Coturnix japonica: one gene and its partners. The protein of the gene in region 3 interacts with the protein of the main gene of each other region in a pairwise test. Links are inferred from orthologs where the notes say so. Each region holds a gene or a part of one and is shown on either strand. Other genes may lie near its edges.

Evidence for each region.
Region 1: the proteins of PER2 (region 3) and CRY1 interact in a two-hybrid assay, tested with the Homo sapiens proteins (5 studies listed by BioGRID, with this or other methods). The link is inferred for Coturnix japonica from reciprocal best matches to the Homo sapiens genes PER2 and CRY1.
Region 2: the proteins of PER2 (region 3) and CSNK1D interact in binary tests that used the Homo sapiens proteins (3 or more experiments, as listed by UniProt). The link is inferred for Coturnix japonica from reciprocal best matches to the Homo sapiens genes PER2 and CSNK1D.

Annotation. Positions count from the first base shown.
Region 1 is NC_029516.1:49,004,096-49,011,554, forward strand, and holds part of CRY1 (cryptochrome-1), read right to left. Parts: intron 5,267-7,459; coding exon 5,158-5,266; intron 2,416-5,157; coding exon 2,273-2,415; intron 1,187-2,272; coding exon 1,002-1,186; intron 1-1,001.
Region 2 is NC_029533.1:4,234,741-4,242,199, reverse strand, and holds part of CSNK1D (casein kinase I), read right to left. Parts: intron 6,781-7,459; coding exon 6,632-6,780; intron 6,257-6,631; coding exon 6,028-6,256; intron 5,658-6,027; coding exon 5,487-5,657; intron 4,125-5,486; coding exon 3,976-4,124; intron 3,421-3,975; coding exon 3,249-3,420; intron 2,758-3,248; coding exon 2,618-2,757; intron 1-2,617. UniProt on the Homo sapiens protein: Essential serine/threonine-protein kinase that regulates diverse cellular growth and survival processes including Wnt signaling, DNA repair and circadian rhythms. It can phosphorylate a large number of proteins.
Region 3 is NC_029524.1:4,256,453-4,263,911, forward strand, and holds part of PER2 (period circadian protein homolog 2), read right to left. Parts: coding exon 6,754-7,459; intron 4,824-6,753; coding exon 4,637-4,823; intron 4,288-4,636; coding exon 4,095-4,287; intron 3,523-4,094; coding exon 3,372-3,522; intron 2,311-3,371; coding exon 2,161-2,310; 3' UTR 1-2,160. UniProt on the Homo sapiens protein: Transcriptional repressor which forms a core component of the circadian clock.

The DNA of each region.
Region 1 (7,459 bases), on a different chromosome or scaffold from region 3:
TTTAACACTGAATGATTTTACTCCAATCCCACCACTTTTGTTTTTGCCCAAACTGACCTGCCTTTCATTTTCCCAATTATTTTCAGGTTTCCAGCTCTGCAGCACACTGATTATCTCTAAACTACAACTTTTACTTTTTATTACCTCACTTCTAAGAAGCAGGAATTGCTTTGTTAATTCACAGGATGCCTACAAACTTTTCCAATCATACTAAGAACATCCATACTACCTTCAGAACTAACATTCCTATGTTTCATTGACTTGGACATCCATAACAGATTGGAATTACAATTAGTAATTCTGCTGCAGAAGATAAAAAAAAAGAGGCAAGCTTTTTTCCCCATCCCCTAAGGACTGCTCAGCAGGTACATGAGATAACAAGTTCAGTGAGATCTTTCTTTCTGAAGAAGGCTTTAAAAGACAAAACAGCAAGAGCATAGCCAAAATTTGTCCAGAGCCTTTTCTTAGGGATTTGGTTGTCATGCTGCATTTGTTTGCATATATATCTTAAATTAAAATTTATACAAACAAGAGATTTTTAGAATCTTCTAAAATAATTATTTGCCTTATTATGGCAATTAATTATTATTATGGTATTTCAGGACAAGCTTTTGGGGCTTTGCTTTGCTTTATATTAAATTGTAAAGTGATAGATCGATGAACACAAGATCACTAAAGCCATATAATGCAAGGAAATAATAAAGACTGTAGTAGCTTGATGATTATTTGGTATCTCAATAAAATGGCGGTGCTGTACTTCAAGAAGCTCAGCAGTATTTAGTGTAGTTTGACCCATCTGACCACCCATTTAAACAAACTCAAAACCTAAAATGCACCAAGCTCATTATCCCTTTTTGTTCTATTTGTTTGACATCATTGACATCAACTAACAATTAACCAGAAGTAGAACTTCTCTCAGGTGGTTATTTTAAGTATTACGCTTTCAGTGGGAGGCTGCTCCTATACTCGTTCTGCAACATCTTAACAGTGTAAGAACTTACCTAGCTCTTCAAGCGACGGGACACCGTATTTCTCATCGTGGTCATCGGAAACTGGAGTGGTACATTTCTGCATTACCTCCGGGGTTATAGTCTCCACTGGCATCTCCAGAGGTTCCATTCTACTAATCAGAGTCTGGAATCGCTTGTAAGTAAGAGGTGGCTGTCCTCCATTTAATTCTATAATTCTGGTTTTGAAAGGAAAAAAAAGAATAAAAACAAAGTATGTTAGACAAGAAGATATTACAATGTTATTTGTTGGGTTTTTTTTTCATTTGTTTGTTATTGTTTGTGTATACATCTATGCACACAGAAGAAATATTGTGCTACACAGAAAGACTGATATACTTGATTATCCAGACAGTTTGTACCTTAATTTCACACCATCATTTTTCCTCATCAGGAAAACATAAATTAACTGTTTAAAATCAAGTCAATTATTCTTAACTTCTGGGCTGACGAAAGTTCCTTAAGAATGAGTAACGAATACAAAAAGCTCGAGGCAACGAAAACACATAGAATTAACAGAGCAGGTAAAAGTCTGCAGCAGCACAGGTGAGTTGCATGCATCTTATAAGATCAGCTGCATAAAAAGAAAGCATTTTTCTACTCTGGCATTCAGAGCAGAGTCCAGTGCTGCAGCTGAATTAATACTGAGAAAAGATTAGGCTGCCATTTATACACAATGACTTGTCAATACACAGTTTTCACATTCTGCACCGTCCATCCATCTTTAAATCTGCAATCTTGGAAACAGGGTAAGTTCAAGAAATAGCTTAAAGCAGCAGATCGAATCAACTGTTCACTTAAGGACAGGGGGAAAATGAGAAGGAATTTTGACAGAGGGGTAGATTTTCAGTTTAAGATTTAAAACTAGTTACTGGTTTCAAATACGTGCATCTAGCAATCTCCCATACATGTGGTTTATAACATTAAAATGAGCATCTACAGTAACAAATTACTTAATGTTAAGAGAAGCCAAATCATATTTTTGAACAGTTTGCAGATTGTGTTTCTATAATAAGGAGCTAATACTAATCCCTTTAAATAGATCTGTGGAATAACAAACAACACATTAAGTAACACAACACAGGGATATCAAACAATCCCCAGAATGTTACTGGATATGTCACTTATAGGAAACAGTGTGAGAAAAATGGAGGACCTTTTGCTAACTTGTGTAGAAATGAAATTGAGACAGAACAAACTAAAATTAAACCAGAACAAGTTCTAGTTGTTTCTTCCTTTATAAAACCAGAGTAATGGTAACTTACTTGTCTAGGTCATATAATGTGTGAGAAATTCGAACGATGACCTCCACTCCAGCTTCACTAGCCAGCTTCTTAATTGCTGCATCTCTCTCCTTGCCAAATGGTTCCGAGTCGTATTCAATAGACAGTTTTGCAATGCTCCATTCCTGAAACACAAAATAAATATCCGGTCCTTCAGCAAACCAGCTGCAAGATAGAGAGTGAGGAAAAGGAGAACAGAAAAGACAGGTTGTAACACCAGCTGTAGAGAGCTGGTAAAAATACACAAAGGTACAAGACACAGAGATACAGATATCCTGACTGACAAAAAAGCAGCCAACATTTCGGCACCTAGACTGGAATCAGACAAAAACAAAAAAAGCCTCTATTGATCTGCCCCATTACATTTCCATAGAAGTTTTGAAAATCCAGCTTTAACTTTAGGATCCACATACTTAAGAGGCATAACGGCAGGGAAAGATGACACAGGCTGTCTTCTGGACATTTTTGAGCATGTTTCTAATCCCAGTTACCTTAAACAGGAGACCTAAACACACCAGCCAGACTATTTCAGAGAACGAGACTTATACCAAAGGCACAGGGGTTCACTGTTCACTTAGGGCACTGCTTCACTTCTCCATCACATCACCTGTGATGGAGCACAGGTACAATAATGAGGATAGATTACTCTAGGGAGTGCTTGGCATCCTTCCACCCTTACGTCTGCCAACAATGACACAGCAGGCCCTGAACCCTTTAGCAGCCTCCTCTTACACAATGTTTATTTTACATTCAGTGGTGACGTTTGACAGCTGGTAGCAAGTTTTCTTAAATCCTTCTTTCCTCTGGTATGTTGAAAAGAAAACCATGAAAAAAAAGCATCCAAGGGCCAGAGCCACACTGCACAGAGAGCCAAGGAACTCTGAGACAAGTGAGACGTGATGCGAATACACACAGTTCACATTAATAGTAATGTCAGTTCACATTAGCATGAGGTAGGCACGTAGAGGCAAGGACACACTTTGCACGTGCTGCTTGGCACAATGGATGCTTTTATCAACACTGATGTATTTAAATAAATCAGAAATCGTCCCAGCTCTATTCTGTTCATCAAGCCAGCCCCAAAGCACTAGAGATACAGAACAAACTAGGACAAACTGGAAAGAATAGCAAGAACCAAGTGAAGTTCACCATTTCAAATTAAGTAACAGGTACCAAGTGGGTGTCAGCGACTAATGAAAGCTGCAACTCCGCAGTCAAATGAAACCATCTTTCTTGACTTAAAGAAATAAAATTTTTGCAAAGACCTGCAAAGTTTGCTGATAAAAATATTCTGTCTCTGTGTACTACTCCGGAAGATGACAACCTAGTGCTGCTTTCAGTAGCAATACTAGCTAGTACTGCTGAGAACAGGTGACACCGAATTAAGTCTTAAGGGAAGCAAAGCTGTTCTGAGGGATTGAAAGCGGGCAGGAAAGAAGAACATAAACAAGTATCTCTCTCTAATCCTAGAGTCCTCTTAGTCCTTTTTAACAATTAAAATATATCAGTACTCTGTCTTTTGAAAACATCATCCTCCAAACTGTGAAAAGGAGAGCCCTACTTAAAAAAAAAAACAGCTGTGAAATATTCACCCCCAGGCATCTTAAATAAGGTTTCTGACACAAGAGTTTATAGAAGTTCCACTGCATCCTACCATTAATGGCTTGAAGATATCACCTTTCAGACAAAAAAACAGATGTGTTGTTCATGGTCAGGATTGTTGCTCACTTTTATGAGACATTTAATGAGAACAATTTGAAAAGCTTGATTCAAGGTTCCACATCAGCCACCTGATATATAGGTATCTGCTTTGGCAAAATAGGCTACAGGTGTAACTGTATGAGTTATATACGTGCTTGAGGTAGCCTTCAGCCAAATGACTAACATGCTCAAGAGATTAAAAAAAAATCTCTTTCATTTATCTAGCTTAGTGCTGATGACTGGAAAATTACAACTCTTGAGAAGACAGTCTTTCCAGAAAAGGATATTTTTTCCAGTCTTGCTTATCTCAATCACCTCAATTCAGTCATTCCATAAAACCTCTTAGAATCCATATGCAAAGCATACTGAGCAGCCTGGAGAAGAGAAGGCTCCAGGGAGACTTGATAGCGGCCTTCCAGTACCTGAAGGGGACTCACAGCAATGCTGGGGAGGAACTTTTTAATGAGGGCATGTAGCAACAAATTGAGGGGAAATGGCTTTAAACTGGAAGAGGTACATTTAGACTAGCTATTAGGAAGAAATTCTTTACTGTGAGGGTGGTGAGGCACTGGAGCAGGTTGCCCAGTGACGCTGTGGATGCCCCCTCCCTGGAAACATTAAGGGCCAGGCTGGATGGGGCTCTGAGCAACCTGGTCTAGATCCCTCTAAGGTGTCCCTGACTATAGCAGGGGGTTGGAAGTAGGTGACCTTAAGGGTCCCTTCCAACCCTAACCCTAACCCTAACCCTAAAAAGCACAGCAGAGGTTTGGTCTAAAATCAAAGCACTGCTTTTACAGGTCAAACTTTGAATCTCTGAATTTGTGTACGTGTTATTTCAGAGGGAACCCAGAAAGGAAAACTTAGTACAGGACACAGCAAAACATGAGAAATTAGCCCTGTTTCTGGAGAGAAAAGAATTAGAACTGTGTAGTCTAAAAAGGAACTCAAGCCAATTGATGTGCACATTAGAGAGGAACAGAAATTCAAACATTGAAAAATCCTGAAACTGCAAAAGTGTATTTAGCATTTGTGTTGAAAGCAACTTGTGCTTAAGTATACTAGTATACTTAAGTTGAAACCATTTTGACAGTCATACTCATGGACAGAAACTATCCGTAGGGTAAAAGGAAACCTGTATTTTAGTTGTATGCATTTCTAGCATTTACCTTAAAAAGCCTGGGGAAAACATCTGCTGGCTGTCCACGAATAACAAACAAACGTGAATTCAGTTTCCGTAGATTGGCATCAAGATCCTCAAGACACTGAAGCAGAAACCTGCAAAGAAAAGTAAAGAAATGTTTGCTTTCTGAGGTAGACCAAGCAACTTTGCAGTAGAAACAGGGACCTAGAGGAACAGCCCAACTGTTATCAGATCTTCCATATTTTGTGTGTATTTTGGTGATGCATGCATGTCACCATTCTAAGTACACTTAGCTTGCAGTAGTTCAACAGCTCTTATTAAGCAGCACACAACTGACAAAAATCAAACTGAGCTCTCATTGAAGTTTTCACCTCAGTGCTACTCAGTTCCGGAACACATTAAAAGATACTCAAGTCTTATCTGAATCTGTAAATGTCTTGTCACCCTGAAGGGGGAAAAAATAGCACACCACAAAATAAAAGAGGAGACAATCAGTTATTGGCATACAGCAATGAAACTTAATCCAAGTGCCCCTTACAACACAGAGGCCTGAACTGTTACTAAAAACAGCACGTCGGGGGACTAGATGGTCACAACTACGCCATTGGCCTTCACTTATAAAAATAGCCCTGTTTCTAAGGAGGAATGTCACAAACCAGCTATACCCTCCCTTCAATTTGTAACAAGCAAATCAGGAAACAAGGAAAAAGGGGGGGGGGGGGGGGGGGGTAGGCTGCAGATCTAAAAGTCTTAAGGTGAAACGAGCTGTTGCACATCGGATGTTGAGACAGATCTACGCACCAAAGAATGATTAGTGGATTGAGTAACTGAAGATGGCTGAAGATTGTCTGGGGGGAGACAAGAAAACTGACAGGAAAACTGAGGCTGGTGGCCACCTATGGAGATATTCAGATAAGCATCCTTCTCACAGACCCTTCACCAGCATAGTGCTTCCCCTACAGCATTATCTCTGTGATAAAAGTAAGGTTTTAATTAGGAGCTGCTCAAACCCTCTACCACAGCGATGTTACTGTGAGGCAAATCATGCACTGATGAGGGCAGCTGCTAAGTTTTGTGCATGCATGCGCCACTGGATTCCCCACCATCAACCAAAAGTGATGCCCTGAGAGGCAAAGGAGAGACTCTCCTGCTGGAGGCCATCAATCCTATGAGGACCTCCCATAACACCACTACATATGGGTATACAAGAGCACAGCAGCTTCTTTACTGACAACCACAGTACGTGTTTAATGACAGAAACAAAAAACAATGCCCAGTTCTCTCACTTTGCTAAATTTTGATCTGATAAAAAACAAACCCTCCAAGGCAGGCAGACAATGAAGTAAGATATATATGCTATATCTAAAAAGAAACTTCTGTATAAAAAGTCATTTTAATATTAGATTCTAGAGTGAAATAACATATGCTTCTATTTAAAGAGAATGCAGGCCCTAAGTTTGTAGGCCAAAGTCACTTCTAGGCCTACACTAGAAAGCACAGAGTGTTTTTCTGTTGTTGTTGCTGCTGTTTTAAGCTTGGAATTACAGTCTTTATCATGAATCCTGTCCATTTCAATCTTTCTCAATCTTGTTTCCCAGGAACATATGCGTTCACAAATCACTATAAACATGAACTATAGTGTCCCAGGTGGCTTTGGAATGATAGAAGAGGTACATTTTTGTTTGAATTTAAACTTCAAGCCACAGAATATAGGGAAAAGGTGTTAAGGAGAACTGGCAAAACAAAACACTCACAGCTATTTCAATGCAAGAACTGTCTCAGGAAATTGTTTTCCTACTTACTTCCCCCCTATTTTCTCAACCCACTTTCTTCCTTACTGACCACAGCACACAACTTTAGTCTAGACCTGACACAAAATCCTATTCAAGAAGATTACATGCACTGACCCAGCCTTCAATTCACATCCAAGGTCCCTAAACTTGCCCTTAATACCATTTAATCTCTATTTTGTTGGTTTTCCAAATCTTCTCTAATATCTCTCTTCCTATCTCCATAAAACTTGCACATATGTGGAAAAACAACAGTCTAGACTGGAGCTGTCAAATACATGGAGGAAGAGAAGGGAGCAGAGGGGGACGCAGGGAAGAAATTACTCTGTTATCAACCCTTCTCACCCACACAAAAACAGAAGCAAACTAACCAAGTCCCAGCTTAGGCTGCACAACTGTCACTGAGAACACACTGTTCAGAGAGAAAAAAAAAACAAATTAAGCCCTAGCGACCCCATGGTATTTGTAGTAACAACAGTGCAAAAGAACACTGCTTTTGAATAGGAGAAAAGGAGTTCCGTTTACAGCAAACGATTA
Region 2 (7,459 bases), on a different chromosome or scaffold from region 3:
CTTCTTCACTAAGTTTTTTATGTTTATCGACTGACTACGTATAGGAGACTTAGTGAACAACTCAGTCATACAGCTTAAGAGTACAAGAATATTTAAGCAACTGGTGCTATCTTCTGTTCCTATCACAACACTGCACTGAGGTTTGCTTTAGGTCTGAATATGCCACCTAGAAAGGAACCCAGTTCTTTCTTGCAATCACAAAGGGAACGGATGATCCTCTATGTCTTTTAGAAGCTGTCTCAGTGGCTGTCTTTGCTTAGACCTTTGCATCGCTCTTCACCAAACATGAGTATTTTAACTCTGAGCAAAACGTGCTTTATGTATATTTTCTGCATAAACTTAAGTTAGAACAATAACTGTTGTTGCCAAAACTTCAACAAAATCAAGGCAATCTTTCATCTTTCAGACAAACTAAAAAGACCAATGTGAAACCTCAGTGTACATCATGTTCTCCCAAGCACAATTTTCACAGCTCTTCTGTTAACTTTCAGTTTCTCAGCAGTTCAAGATACTGAAAACTGAGCTAGACAACATTCCAGTACCCATCTCAATGACACAAAAAACTTCCCTATTCCTGTTCATTACTGCATCATATACATATTCAAGGATGAAATTACACCCTTCCATTATGACATCACACTGACCTCTGCAACACCAAACTGCAGCCTCCTCAGCCGTTACCTATCACAGATAGAGTTTCCATACATGAGACAATGGGCTCCACTTCTTGATTATGATCAGATTTTGGAATGGTCCTTAATAGCCTGGCCATGCAAGTGGGATACTTACTATAGCTATAAAGTAAAATTGAAGTCAATCTCTCTTGCCTTGTCAATACGACAGGCCTATGGGAAATTGCTGAAGTTATATTCTGGTTGCATACTGTTATTCAGCTACCACTAATGGTCAGCAGCTGTTCAGTGCCTTGTTAAGAACTAAGGAAAAATGACAGGTGATGAATGATTAATTTAGCAAACGCAGAGAAAAACCAGACTAGGCTGCTATTATAAAGAAGTCAAATTCCATACTTGGAGTGATTCCATGCTTGGAGCAGAGTGCTCAAGGGTGGGTACAGAGATATGCAATCACACCACAAATTATATAGCTGGCAATTTAAAGATCACTCAAAAAACCCATCCATATTGCTAAACAATCTCAAAAGTATGCTTACTTCACAAGCTAGGCAGAATCAAAACCCATCTGCAAGCCCATTTGTGAGTCTCATACCTTACAATGCTTAGAAAAAAGCAACATATACACTGAGCTTCAAGTCAGCAATACAAAAAAAAATCTTTAAGATACATTCAGACTAATTAAGTTTAATCACCTATCACAGCCAAGCAGCATAATTACACTTTTATCTGTTACACCCCTGCCTGACTGGTAATAAAGTATCTGAAATTTGCTTAGAATGTCAGAGACATTCATACTTTACTAGGAAACCATCTTTACATTTGAACAAATATTCACGATCATGACCTCACAGAATAGCCAAGGTCAGAAGGGACCTCTAGGGATTATCTAGTCCAATTACACAGCTGAAAACGCAGTCAGCTGGAGCAGTGTTTCCAGCCCTCCTGTGATTCTGTAATCTTGAAGTTACCTGCACTGCAACCCAAGGATCTGAAAACTCACTGAGCTATTTTTCTAGAAATCCAAAGTAGCACCACTCTAATCCAAACCACCGACATCTTGAGCTTCAAGATCTTGAACAACAGCTAAATCCAGGCCCGCTGCTACAGGGATACACAGCACCATCTATACTTGGAGCCCTTTGATGTGGATATGCCTAAAAGCACTGAAATAGTTTTATAGTTGCCAATTTCTCATTTGGTTTTTGGCCTGTTTCTATCCCCATTATACAGCTGAGGGAAGGAATTCTCCTTCTTTCCTAAAAGCACTTTGAAATTGATTAAAAATGAAAAACTTCTTCAATATGAGTATTCATCATCTTTGCATTCTTTTTGCAACCTCATTCCATCTCATATGCTTTCATTTATTCCCAGAAAGAGAACTAAGTCAGCTACACACTTATATTTTACTAGATTCCATAATCCTTCTGCTGTCTGAATTCTTTCTCATTTACACTGTAGGCCATGATGTAGAACCCAGGCACAAAAAACTACCCTGCCCACTCAGTCTTCACTAGAGACACCCACCTCATCTTCATCTAAAAGAAAGCTCCAAATAAATTTAAAATATCATTTGCCAATCTTAAAATTCAGATCTTAAAATCAATGAGGATGATTTCAGTGCAGACTACAGCTACGAATCCCTGCACCATTTATAGTCCTGCCATCTTCCTCAGCTGAGCCTACTGTGACCTCTCTATCACTCATCTATGTGGCTTCTTATTCACTCAGAATTAAAGGACTGCACTACAGCATTTCTTGATTCCTGCTCTTTTCTGTTTTTTACCAATCATTTGTTATCTATTCTGCACCAATAATCTCTGTACCAACATCAGAAACATTCCAGCCAAATTTCAACTATTTATTCGAGTCAACATTGGCTGAAAAATCAGTATGAGAGCACAACAATTACTTTGTATGGTTACCTGCCAAATTAACCTTATCAAATAACACCCATTTTTCCATTAGACAAGAATTGTTTTTACCTGTGAAGTGGACATGCGAGAGGTGTCTTGTCGGCCTGTTAAGTCAGACGATGAGACATTGACTGGGGCACCACGGTGCAACCTCATACTCACTTTTCTTTCTCGTTCCATACCAGACACCGGTCGAGGAGATGTGTTGGCTGTGAGAAAAATTGCATTAGAATTTTCAGAATGAGGCATGTAATAAAAATGCAGTCACTGGAAAAATTACGCTGTTGGCGCATGTAAATTCTACAAGATCAAACCAGAGAAATCAAGGCTTTCATCTTATATTCGCAGATAACTCTAAGTAGCAATTAGCAGGTAATGAGTGTGTGTAATTACCTTCAATCTACGGAAAATTAAAAGGGAAAAACAAAAAACAATCAGGCCAGGCTGGATGTGACTCTGGGCAGCCTGGTCTGGTAGTTGGCGACCCTGCACATCACAGGGGGGTTGAAACTGGATGACCATTGTGGCCCTTTTCAACCCAGGCCATTCTATGATTGCATGAAACAAAAAAGTCCAAATGCTGACTCACTCAAACACCACTCCCATATCCTTATTTTATTTTCAAATTCCAATGACCAGGAACAAACTGCATATTAAAGCAGACTGGGAGGTGCGTCAGCCCATATATTTGCTTACTTACCAGCATGTGAAGTTGGGGTAAGAGGAGTAGGAGGAGCTACATCTTGCGTTCCCCTCAGCCTGCCAGAAGCAGTGGAGGGCAATCCACGCACAGCTGGGTTTCGTGTATGTCTCAGCCTCTCCTCTCGTTCTCTCCTTTCACGTTCAGCATCTTCAGCCCCTCTGCTTGCACCCTACGGGTCAGGACTAGTGAACAACTTAAAGGATTATTGAGCTTACAACTATACATTTGAATAAATATTGACAACGAAGAACTGAAGTTTGAGGAACTTGTTTGATAGGTTACCAATACCTTGGTAAAATTTCTTGAGAACTATCATAGATTCAGTTCATACAATCACTGGGATAGTTCAAATCGCTAATAAACACACACATACTGTTATGGCAATTGGACACTTCCTAAACTGTTGTATGTGAGATGTGATAAAGATCAAGACAGGTAAAAATAAGAAGTCAGCTACCCAATGTGGCAACTGCCTCAAAGGAAGCAGCTTAGGAAGCCTACTACACTGACAATCCTGTAACTACAACTTCGTCATTAAATCCCAATCTAAAGCCTCCTTTATGTCCTGCTTTTCTCTACTTCCTCCCTCCCCTCATTTTTAGGGCAACAAACCTTCTGGGACAGAACACTCTTAAGGTATCAGTTAAGAACCCAAAACTGACAGTGTGATTAAAAAAAATAGCATTACAAAAAATTGTTTTAGAAAGCCACACCAGCTACTCACAAATTTCAGCATGTTCCAGTCAAACACATAGTCATAGGAGAAGCCTTGTCTGTGGAAGAGGTTTCTGAATAACTGCCTTAGGTAGGAATAGTCAGGTTTGTCATCAAAACGAAGAGAACGGCAGAAGTTCAAGTATGTGGCAAATTCAGCTGTAATAAAAGAAAGCCTGTTTTTCTCCTTCAGCTTCATATTTGGTTTTTATGGCTCAGAATCATTAAAAAAATAACAACCACGACACAGAACCTCCCAAACATACAAATACTGACATAGTACTAGAAATCTACTGAAAGCAACACTACATCCCCCCTGCCAAGTATGGTCTGAAAAGAAAATTGTCTATCACAGATTAGGCGAAGGCTCCATTTATCCATAGCAGGTAGGACTGTGTTAGGAGGAAGAAGAAAGTTTAAAACTACATTTCAGCAAAGGAAAGATTTACTTGTCCTTTCCTTGCTCTGAATGTACTTAAACTTAATGTACACAGAATAGAATCTCTTTGCTAAAATACCAGCTATGCAGTAAAAACAGAACATTATTGTGTATTCAGTGCTCCAGAGATACACCAGTGTCAATCTACCAGCTCTTGACTTTAAGGCTTTCCACCTAAAATGATGTATTAATAATTCACATTAAGTAAGGAATTTTAGGCAACTGTTCTTGTGTTGTTTGCCATCTTGTCTGTTCATCCCAGAGGAAAGAAATAGTTTATGAGTAAAGGAACATGCACGACAGGACTTTTGGAACACTCAAAAGCTTTCATACATCCCTCACCATAGCTACAATTCTCATCATACTTAGCTAACACAGCACAGGGCAAGGAAAGAAGAGAGAGAGATCACTTCCTGAAAGGTGAACAATATTCCCTGAGGGTAACTAATACATTAACAAGTTTTGAAACATAGTTATTACTCTGCATGAATCAGAAATTCTTTTTTATTACTAGGGTGTAAACACCAAGAAAAGAAACTGAGCTTTGAGGGATGATGCCAGGATCTGGAGGGATTCTTACACCCCTCACAGATAATGGCCACGGTCAGGCTGGACTGGATGAACTTGGAATGACAATTCCAGAACAACACAATTGCAATAGATGCAAATGACTGTACAATCTGGTTTATCCAGAAAGAATATCCACACATGAAGAGATGGGAAGCTTCTCAAAAAGTTATTTGGCTGTTAATAATCATCCTGCCAGAATTTATGCATGCACACACAAGACAGTGCAGATCACATACACACACTATGCTGTCTTTCAAACTCAAGAGCACCACAGTGATTGCTTACTAATAGTTATGACAGAGGCTAAGTAGAAACAGCCTACGAACAGACAGATCCTGGTCTTGAAAGCACGGTGTCATTATTATGAGCATGCCCAGTTGTAGGAAAAAAGTCAAGAAGACTGTAAACAGGCTCCAAACACATTGTGACAGAGGAGCTAGAAAGCATAAATAAAAAAGACATACCACTAAAAAATGAATACATGGGCCTAGTGACATAAAAGAGCAACTTACAAGGATATCCTTTACACAAAACCTCAATGGGTGTAGACATTTTCTTTTCACTGATACGTTCGTATTTCTGTCTCTTTGTTGCTGCTTTCAGTCCCTGCCAGGGGAGGGAGCCCAGGTTAAAATACATCAGTACATAGCCCAAGGACTCCAAGTCATCTCTGCGAGATTGCTCTACAACAGCATAAAAAAGTGGACTCATTAGGTTTCATTATCTAGTGGGAAAAAACAGAAGACTGAGCAATAATGTGTCAAAAACCCTTAAAATACAACAGACAGATGAAAATCACTACATCTGTGTCAAACTCACCCAGTATTAGAAAAAAAAAACAAACGATCACACTTGCAATTATTAAAGAAATGTGTCAATTCCTTAGAATTACAAACTGAACCCCACCCCAAGAGGCATAAGTCCAAGCACAATGTGTCATGAGTGCCAGCAATAGGGTCTGTCTTCTATGCCCCAAAAAGCATCATCAACTTGCACTGAAAACACATGTATCAGCACTTGTGAAGGTTCTATTCATTGCTTTTCCCAGCTCACCAATTCCAAGATGAGTGTTGATGGATGCATAACGGGCAGTTCCTGTTAGGTTTTTGTTTTCACGATATGGGATATGTTGGTGAGTTCGGGCATCCCGGTACTTCTTTGCTAATCCAAAGTCTATGATGTAGACAAGGTTGCCTTTCTTCCCCAGGCCCATGAGGAAGTTATCTGGCTTCACATCTCGGTGGATGAAATTTTTCGAGTGAATATATTCAATTCGACTGATCTACATACAGACAGAGGACAAAAAACAATTGAGATATCAGTCATACCCTTTTCTCTCACAAAATCGCTAGCAATGTTATCACTACTATCACATCACCTCAGCGATAAGCAAGATAAAGACTTTTCTGGAAAAGGATATTAAAGTGAATAATTTAGAAAACAATAAATATATCTTCCCTGCAGCTCTTTCCCTGTGTCTATGTTACATTGTTTCTAAAAACCTCATTCAGAGTTTTTCCCCCCTCTAATGATACACCCTATTCAGCTCTAAATAAATATAAACAAAAAATGAAACAAAATACAGCTGGCCATGGTCACTCAAGACATTTTAACTAGCTTAACATGCTTTGCAGTCACAGGCAACACAGTTTCCTACCATTTGGTCAGCGAGTAACAAGACTGTCTTGAGACTAAATTTCCTTGAACAAAAATTGAAGAGGTCTTCAAGACTCGGTCCCAGCAGCTCCATCACCATGACGTTGTAGTCCCCTTCTGCACCACACCACTTAATAGTGGGGATACCCACTGCAAGATAAGGAAAGAGTTTATTAAGCATAATAACTTGGTTTATGAAGTTAGTACACACAGATCTTCAGGGTTCTTAAGGTGGACTCTAAGAGTCATTACTGCCAATGTTTGTATCCACAGTGACCCTTAATATTTTATGATACTTTCAAGCATTTTGAAATGAAGCATTTGATCCCTTCATAACTGGACCAATACAAAACTGGAACACAAGAGACCTGAAAATAGCTGTAGCCTGGTCCCCCTTCCCAGTCTTTATGTTTTTGAAAGCAGACAGTGGTTTTGCTGGATTTTAGCCTTAAGTGCTTTGCATGTAGAAACATTCATGGTCTCCAAAACAGCAATAAGGAGAAAATCAGAACCCTGAAAATAAAGACACTGACAAACCACTGAGTTTTACTGCTAGAAAAGGCTTTAGAAATGAAATTATTAGTTTCAAAGCCTACAAAATCCATGCAAAATACCACTCTTTCAGGTTACAATTTGGAATGCAGTTTCACCCCTCCTTCTTGCATTCACTCCAGTTCTGCGACATTCGCTGTTTGGTGAATCCCTACCAGGATAGCATTGCTCATGAGACATACTGTATATTGCTATACATCTAGATGGAAAATCAAAGTCAGCTTCACTTCATGGAGAAACTTGGGAAAATTGTTCCACAAAGAACTGAAAAAAATGC
Region 3 (7,459 bases):
GCTTGGAAAAATTACAGCTTCAGAATCTTATCTATAAATGGAGGCATGTAGATTTAAAGTTACAGGAAAATATTTAATACCACCCTGTAAATGCAAACACTTTAAGGATGCAAGAATAAGACCGTAATTAAGCACATCCACAAAATGCTCTAAATATACTTTTCTCTTCCTCTCACTAAGTTATGCTTACAAGATGGTCATTGAAAAAAAGAAAGAAAAAAAGAAATGAGAACAAAAAGAAAGGAAAAAGAAAAACACAACAACAAAAAAGCATGCTAAAGTTCACAAAGTGGTTGAGAAGTCCCTGAAAATAATTTGTTTAATAATGATGCGCTCCTTTATATATAAAGCTTTTGTTTTTCCCAAACCCTGGTCCAATTAAAACTATTTGTGTTTACATGTAATAAAAAACAAAAAAGGAATAGGTAATATGCTGGTATAGCTGCACTGTTCCATTTATGATAGAAACATTTAATATATTGGACTGGAATACCAACATTTTAATGTTTCTCATTCGGTTTATATACATCTACTCAAGTTTGATCTTGCAGAAGTGTTAAAGACAGGAATCAGATCACGCTGATGAGCGTTTCACACTATGTTTAAGATACTCACTTCTGAAGTAGTGATTCTACTTGTTCTGTAACTTCACACATTCTAACTGAAGAACCTGTCTCCATTGCAAATTTCCTTATGATGCTGTCCAATTAATTCATTCATTCACACATTTCATCCACTAAGCAAATACCAGTCACTTCAACATGTTTTTGGCGGTGCCAGATCTACCTTCATGTCCTCTTTGGATGCAAAGAGAAACATTTCCATATAATGAAAATAACTTTCAGTGAATAGAAACGTTATCTTAATATTAAAACAAACAAACAAAAAAGAACCAGAAGAAAAAAAAGCTTTCATGAAAAATATTTTAAGACAAACATAGCAAAGTTAATTGAGTTTCTCCACGATTTTGACCCCCCGAGACCTACAAGCTGACATCTAGCAATGCTGCAACTAGATTTCTTCTAACTAATCAATATTGATAGTTACTCTCTTTTGTTCTCTTCCCACATCCAACATGTACAAACAACGCAAGGACAAAGTACACATATTGAAGTTGATACAATCGCTGAGGCATTGAAATTAAATCCTTGACAGGTAAGGACTCCAGCCACACTAAGTGTTAAGTTATGTAATCTGTGAAAGTCAATGGTATTCTCAAAATCTCTTTTTATAAGAAATATCTTCCAATTACGAGAAATGTCTGATCCTCTCTTGCCACATGCAAGTTTGATGTTTGTTTAGCCAAACAGAAAAACGGACGGCCAACATCCTAACAGAACAGACCAAAAATAAAGGTTAAATGACACCACATTTTGTCTCAGTCACTGGAGCACACACAGTCATCCTGTGTGTTTGCAAATTTGTTTAGAAGAGATTTTGTGTGTAAATTCTCAGAAATCATGCTTCGAGATAATACACAGTTCATAGAATTGCAGTGTCCGTTGAAACAAAAGGCTACAGAGTTGTCAGCACTCACCTATGCTTTCTTAAGTATCCACGTAAGTATTTTAACCCAAGATCACCTTACAGAATTAGTTCAGCATTTCTTTTAGGCAAAAGGTTCCTATAGTCAACGCTATAGGAAACAAAGAGGATGGCTCAGACTGGTACAAAAAGGGCAAGTGCGAACTGATTTTCTTGAAGGTTGTTTCTTCTATTATGTTGGACCACTTCAAATATTAAAAGCAATGCTAAAGAGCTTCTAAGCAAGATTCCTAGAACAATTTATAATGCTGAACCGTTACTCAAAGATTTTAAGAGCTATACGTTCACAAGGGGATTTTCAGTACTCACAGTACTCACTGACCCACTCAGTAGGCATCAATGAAAGCTTTTATAGTTTACAAAGAAATACTTGAGGCATATAAGTGCAAAATATGAGTTTTTTTTCTTTAAATAAAAGCTATACCATCTTCAACAATGTCCTTACTGGGAAGAGATTGCCACCATTTAAAAAGAGATTCTTTCACAAATGACTCTTTTAGAGTGAGAAAAACATTTGCTTTATGAACCAGATTCATCTTGCTGGAAACAAGATTAAAACCTTAATGGATCATCACTGTAATTTTGAAGCAGCTTTAAAAGCAACAGGCTCAAAGGCTATGTTTGTTCTTCACTGACTTGACTCAGAGAAACCAGATTGTTCTCCCCACTGTCTTCAATCATTTCATTAAGGTCCATTTCATGGATTTCTTCATCATATGACGTATAAAAATTGCTCTGTATATTGTCCTCACAAAAAATACATTCCTAAAATAAGACAAAACAACATTAAGTCAAAGGAAAAAAAATAATAAAAAAACATTTTCCAAACATCAGTTTATTTGCATGTGATCCCTGATTCCAAAGGAACTTGTAAATCTGTGCCACACTCAGGTTCCATCCTCCAGCTGCTCCTACACAATCAATTTATAACATAGTAAATCAGCACAAGGTACTCGACAACTCTACTATGAACAGCTACATCACAGAATATTTACAATTCTGACTTCTCATAAGCACTATAAGAACATCTTTTCCTACATTTGATTGCTAACACTGGTACATTAATACATTCAGGTCAGCTGCACTGCTTAAGAGACTGAAGTGACTGTAGTTTCACACCTGTTGGATGCCCTCACATCAATGCTGCAGTAACATTAATAACAGAAGGATCTATTCAAATTCTATCGCATTGACTTTTGAAACATCCATGAATAAAGAGAGCCTCTGCATTTGATAGCTTATCTGAAAAGAAGCTACAAATGATGGGGAACTTAGGGAATTGGAAAGCAATCATTTATTCGTAAGTAAAATTCACATATAACCAATAAAACTGCGAGGATTCCTTCCCCCTTCCCCGCCCTTTGTTTCCTGAGCTACTAATCTACTTATACAATCTAGACAAGGAAGGATTCTGCAGGAAAAACTTAATACAGAGAAGGAAGACTGTATTCCCATCCATCACACACTTTCAAGGAAGAAATAGGCCTAAGTTTCTATGCTCAAAACATGTTTTTGCATGAAAATCTCGTATGACATGAATGAAATTGCTAGTTGCATTGATACATAATTTCTAAGAGATTCAACAAAACTAGAAATGACAGACAAGGCCATTCCTCATACTGGATTCACTACCTCAACTTTTCTACTGGAAAGAAGATTACCAGTAAGTTGAATCAAGCCAGAAGCCATGGCAAGCAAGTTTGATTTTAACTATTTCTCAGTATAACTGACCAAGCTTTCTTCCAAACAGGAAAGGAAAACTAACACAGGCAGCTAATAACAAGCACTGTTATACATGCGAAAATAACAAACTGATTTAAACTTACAGAATTAGCAACAGTCTTTGGCAGTCCACCTTGCTGGATCCACGGATGAACTTCAATAAGCTCTCTTTTTTGGTCTTCGGTAAATTTTGGTTGTAGTTTCTGCATTTGCTTTAGTTTCAGCTTATCTTCTTTTAAAACTGTTTCCAAATCTCTAAAATGAAACATATTCAGAAATTGAGCTTCAGTTCTTTCAGGGCTTTACACCTACATAATGTCACACAATCAAATACAAGCTTTTTTCTTTTATTAAAAAAAACAGTTTTTGTTCTGGATTGTTCAGTTTACAGATCTGACACTGGAAAAAAAAAAATGAAGTGTGATTATTTCAGCAGCATTCTACATTTGCAGAAAACTTTAGCACATCTCTGCTGGCTCATTGTCCTTCCAAATCCCACTGAGAACTGCTTGCTTAGTGCTACCACTGAAACAAAGAAGTTCAGTACCCCTCTGCAGATGCTGCAGTGAGATCCAAGTTCTCCTTCAGCAGGACAACCTGAATCAGACACTAGATACACACATATGAGATATGCATCAGCCTCCAGAAAAATACGCCTGACCAAGTCATTCTCCAGAACTTCTGAAGATAGTATGCAAAAGATATAAAGGAAGCAACAGTTCTTGACACTGACCTAAACAAGGTGTCTTCTATTAAGACAGAGATTCAGTTTACCCTGCTCCCCCAATGTGCATGCAGTTTATGAAGGACTGAGGTGCTGGAATTACCTAGAGGGTATCTGGTAAGTCATCATAACTGTATCATCTGTGTTTGCCATCAAAAGCCATATGGGATCCTGAAGAACGTATTTAATGAAGTGCTCACTTTCTTCTATTTCTGCCTTCATTTTTGTTTTATGATGGTTTTCTGAGGAATCGATGCTCCCAAAGTATTTGCTGGTATGACTAGTTTCACTACTGCCTTTAAAAGAGAAATTAAAGCTTCATTAGAAATTGTCAAATACATAGACCAGTCCTGTATTTTTGAAGATAGAAATGGGTAAAAAGAAATGAAAAAACAAAACATCATGACCATTTAATTTCATTTCTAAACAGAAGGTACTCCCACTACAGTAACCATTTAAACATTTTAAAAACCTAATCATTAAAGCTAAAACTCTATTAAACTGCAATAGAATAATTAACTAAAAGGAAATAAATTTGAAACACAAAGGATTATGGTCCTCTCCATTACTCAATTCATGTGAGGTCTGTAGGATATCACAATCCAACGCTTCTAAAATGCTGGGAGTATTCACTGCCTGTATTACCTGTTCTGCTTCCTGACATGTCACAGCCGTTAGATCCAGACCCGAGAGATTCAGCAGCTGCAGATACTCCGCTCCCTGAGGAAGCTGAGCCAGTGCCTGAGCATGCATCTTCTTGAAGTAAAATGTCAAGCAGGACACTGGACATAGAGAGCGCATCGCTATTTTGAGCATCCATTGGAGACTCAGCCTGGTAAGAGGAAGAGGAGGGAAACAAACAACAACAGAAAATTAAGGTCATCTCATCTCCAGTTTCTTACATTTACTATTAATCCACTTGACTTGGTATTCTGTTAAGTTTACACTGCTTGTTATTTGTCAACATGAACAGTTACAAAACTGCTAAACTTCATTAGAAGTTGGCTTGAAGAATTTCAGGAATTAACGTTGATGAAGAAATTAACAGAATACATTGTAATACATGAACAAGCTTCAGATATATCCTCAGTGCTTTCCTGAACAAATGCCTGCTTTGCCTTCATGTTCAAACAAGTGATGATGAAATTACAGAAAGTAATATTTTGCAGGTTTCCGAACAATGGGAAATAGCCTCCTGAGAGAATTCCAAAGGATTTCCCGTCAAAATTGTTGGTATTTTTTGTTATCAAGCTTACTTTAATCCAGTAGCAACATTTCAGAGCACGCAGTAAGTCTCAGACCATCACAGATGCACTTCTTTACCATGCACAAATCTAAGGTGCTTTATTTATGTACATATATACATTAAATATAATGTGTGTATATTATATACACATACACTTGTTCTCAAGATCATGAGACACCAAGCGTGCCACAACAGAATACAGTAAGCTTTTGCATAATGTCAATAAAGTTTGGAAGTTTCACTAGAAAGGCAGATATATTATATTCCTTTCTGCTCCCCCTCTGATCATCCCCCTTAAGAATCAATATCAAGATTATTAGGTAAAATAAATCATCTGGAAACTGAGCAACTAAGTTTGTCAGAGTGAGGAGCAAGCATGTTTGTACGTTTTACCTTCCACCTCCACAGTTTCTAATGTCGGCACATGCCCACGACAAACTATATAACAAAGTCATTTAATCAGCTGTTGGCATCAGCACTAATTGCGCTCTATGACTGATTACTTGGAGCATGTTTGATCTCACATGCCAGTAAGAGCCACACCTTCCAATGTCTGCTTTCCTTTGAACAGCATGGAACTCAAATTGTACTCTGTATACGCTGTCAGTTATAGTGAACAGTTACAGCCCACATAAGAAGAAAAGCAGGAGGTAGGAGGACATTCTAGAAGACTTAGGTTGCATCCCATCAGTGACTCAGCATTCGGAAAGACACTATGCAGAATCCTTATGCAACAGTAATGTAACAGTCTATACCATCATCATAGAAATCCTTAGACACAGCACTCCACCTGAGGTTTGTCAGATTATTAGTTTAATTGATCCAACAAATCTAAATGAGCCAGGAAAAGAAGCTGACATTATCACATAGCTCTGTACGGAGCTTTAGGGCACAGTGCACCAAGAAAAATAAACAGTGTCCGCAGGCAATACCTCATACTTTGTTTGCAAACAAGTAGTCAAAATAAAAAGATAATTTCCTTTATATCAGCTTCTTTCAAGACCTCAGTTACAGGTTGCATCTCCCTCACTCCCTTCTCAGAAATTTACTACCCAAAAAGTTTTTGCTAAACATTAAAAAAAAGTGAACAAATGATTTACAATCTATTTCAGTGCTTCTCAATGAATGCATTAGCACTCACATTAAAAGCTGCATAACAAAACTAATTCGGGATTCATTTTCAAGTTTCCTGGGGTAACTTCAGGAGAACAATAAGGCTGCCTTCAACTTTAAAAGTTAGCATTATTCAAACAATTTGATTCCACATTTATACAGTCTACCAAAACCTGAGTTTACTAACTGCAATAGTGACTCCGTCTCTAGAGACTGCAGACCAGATATTAAAATTTAAGGTCCACAAGAGAGTTTTGAAAATGATAAAGTAGAGACAAGAAAACAGAAGAGGGAAAAAGACCCACTATGGGTATCTCTACATTTTAACACCTTAAATATTCTTAGAGTGCCAAGATTTTAAATGGAAAACACACATACCCAAGAAGAACACAAACATACTTACTGGTAGGGATCCCTTTCCACTACCATCATCAGTTGTCATGATTTTGTTTATGGCTCCTTCCTCATTTAAAGCTCCGTGCAAACCCGCAGGAGCTCCACTTTCCACAGTTTTTGTGTTTTCTTCTAACTGTAGAAGATTCAGAGGAGAACTACACCTTGACTGGAATAAAGGCGGCGAAGCCTGGTCTTGAGGACCCACTGACTGTGGAGTGCAGGAACGGGATGGCTCATTTCGTGTCTCTGTGACAGGAATCTTTTCAATTTCTGCTGGTGGATTATAATGGAATGGTTGCGTTGGAAAAAACGCCTGTTGTGGGAAAGGGCTGGGGGTAGTGAAAGGAGGCTGCGCTGGAAATACTGTCTGTGAAGGGAAAGCAGGATGGGTAGGAAAATTGGCTTGGCTGTGGTAAAGTGTTTGAGGTAAGCTATTGTTCATTTCTGGGTAGACATAGTTGGGGAGCACAAGAGCTACAACAGGCGTCATGAGGGGGGCAGAAAACTGGGACGGTTGCATAGGGCAAGTATTTCCCGAGTCTGGCAGCTGATTAAATCCAGAGACTGAAGTCTCAGGAGCTGGTGGCACAGTCCCTGCTGCTGCTGGAAAAACAGGAAGTGGATATGCAGGCATAACAGTTGGAAAAGACATCGCTGAATAGCTTGCTTGTGAAGTGTCTGATGGTGACCAAGCAGTAGTATTTAAACCCTGA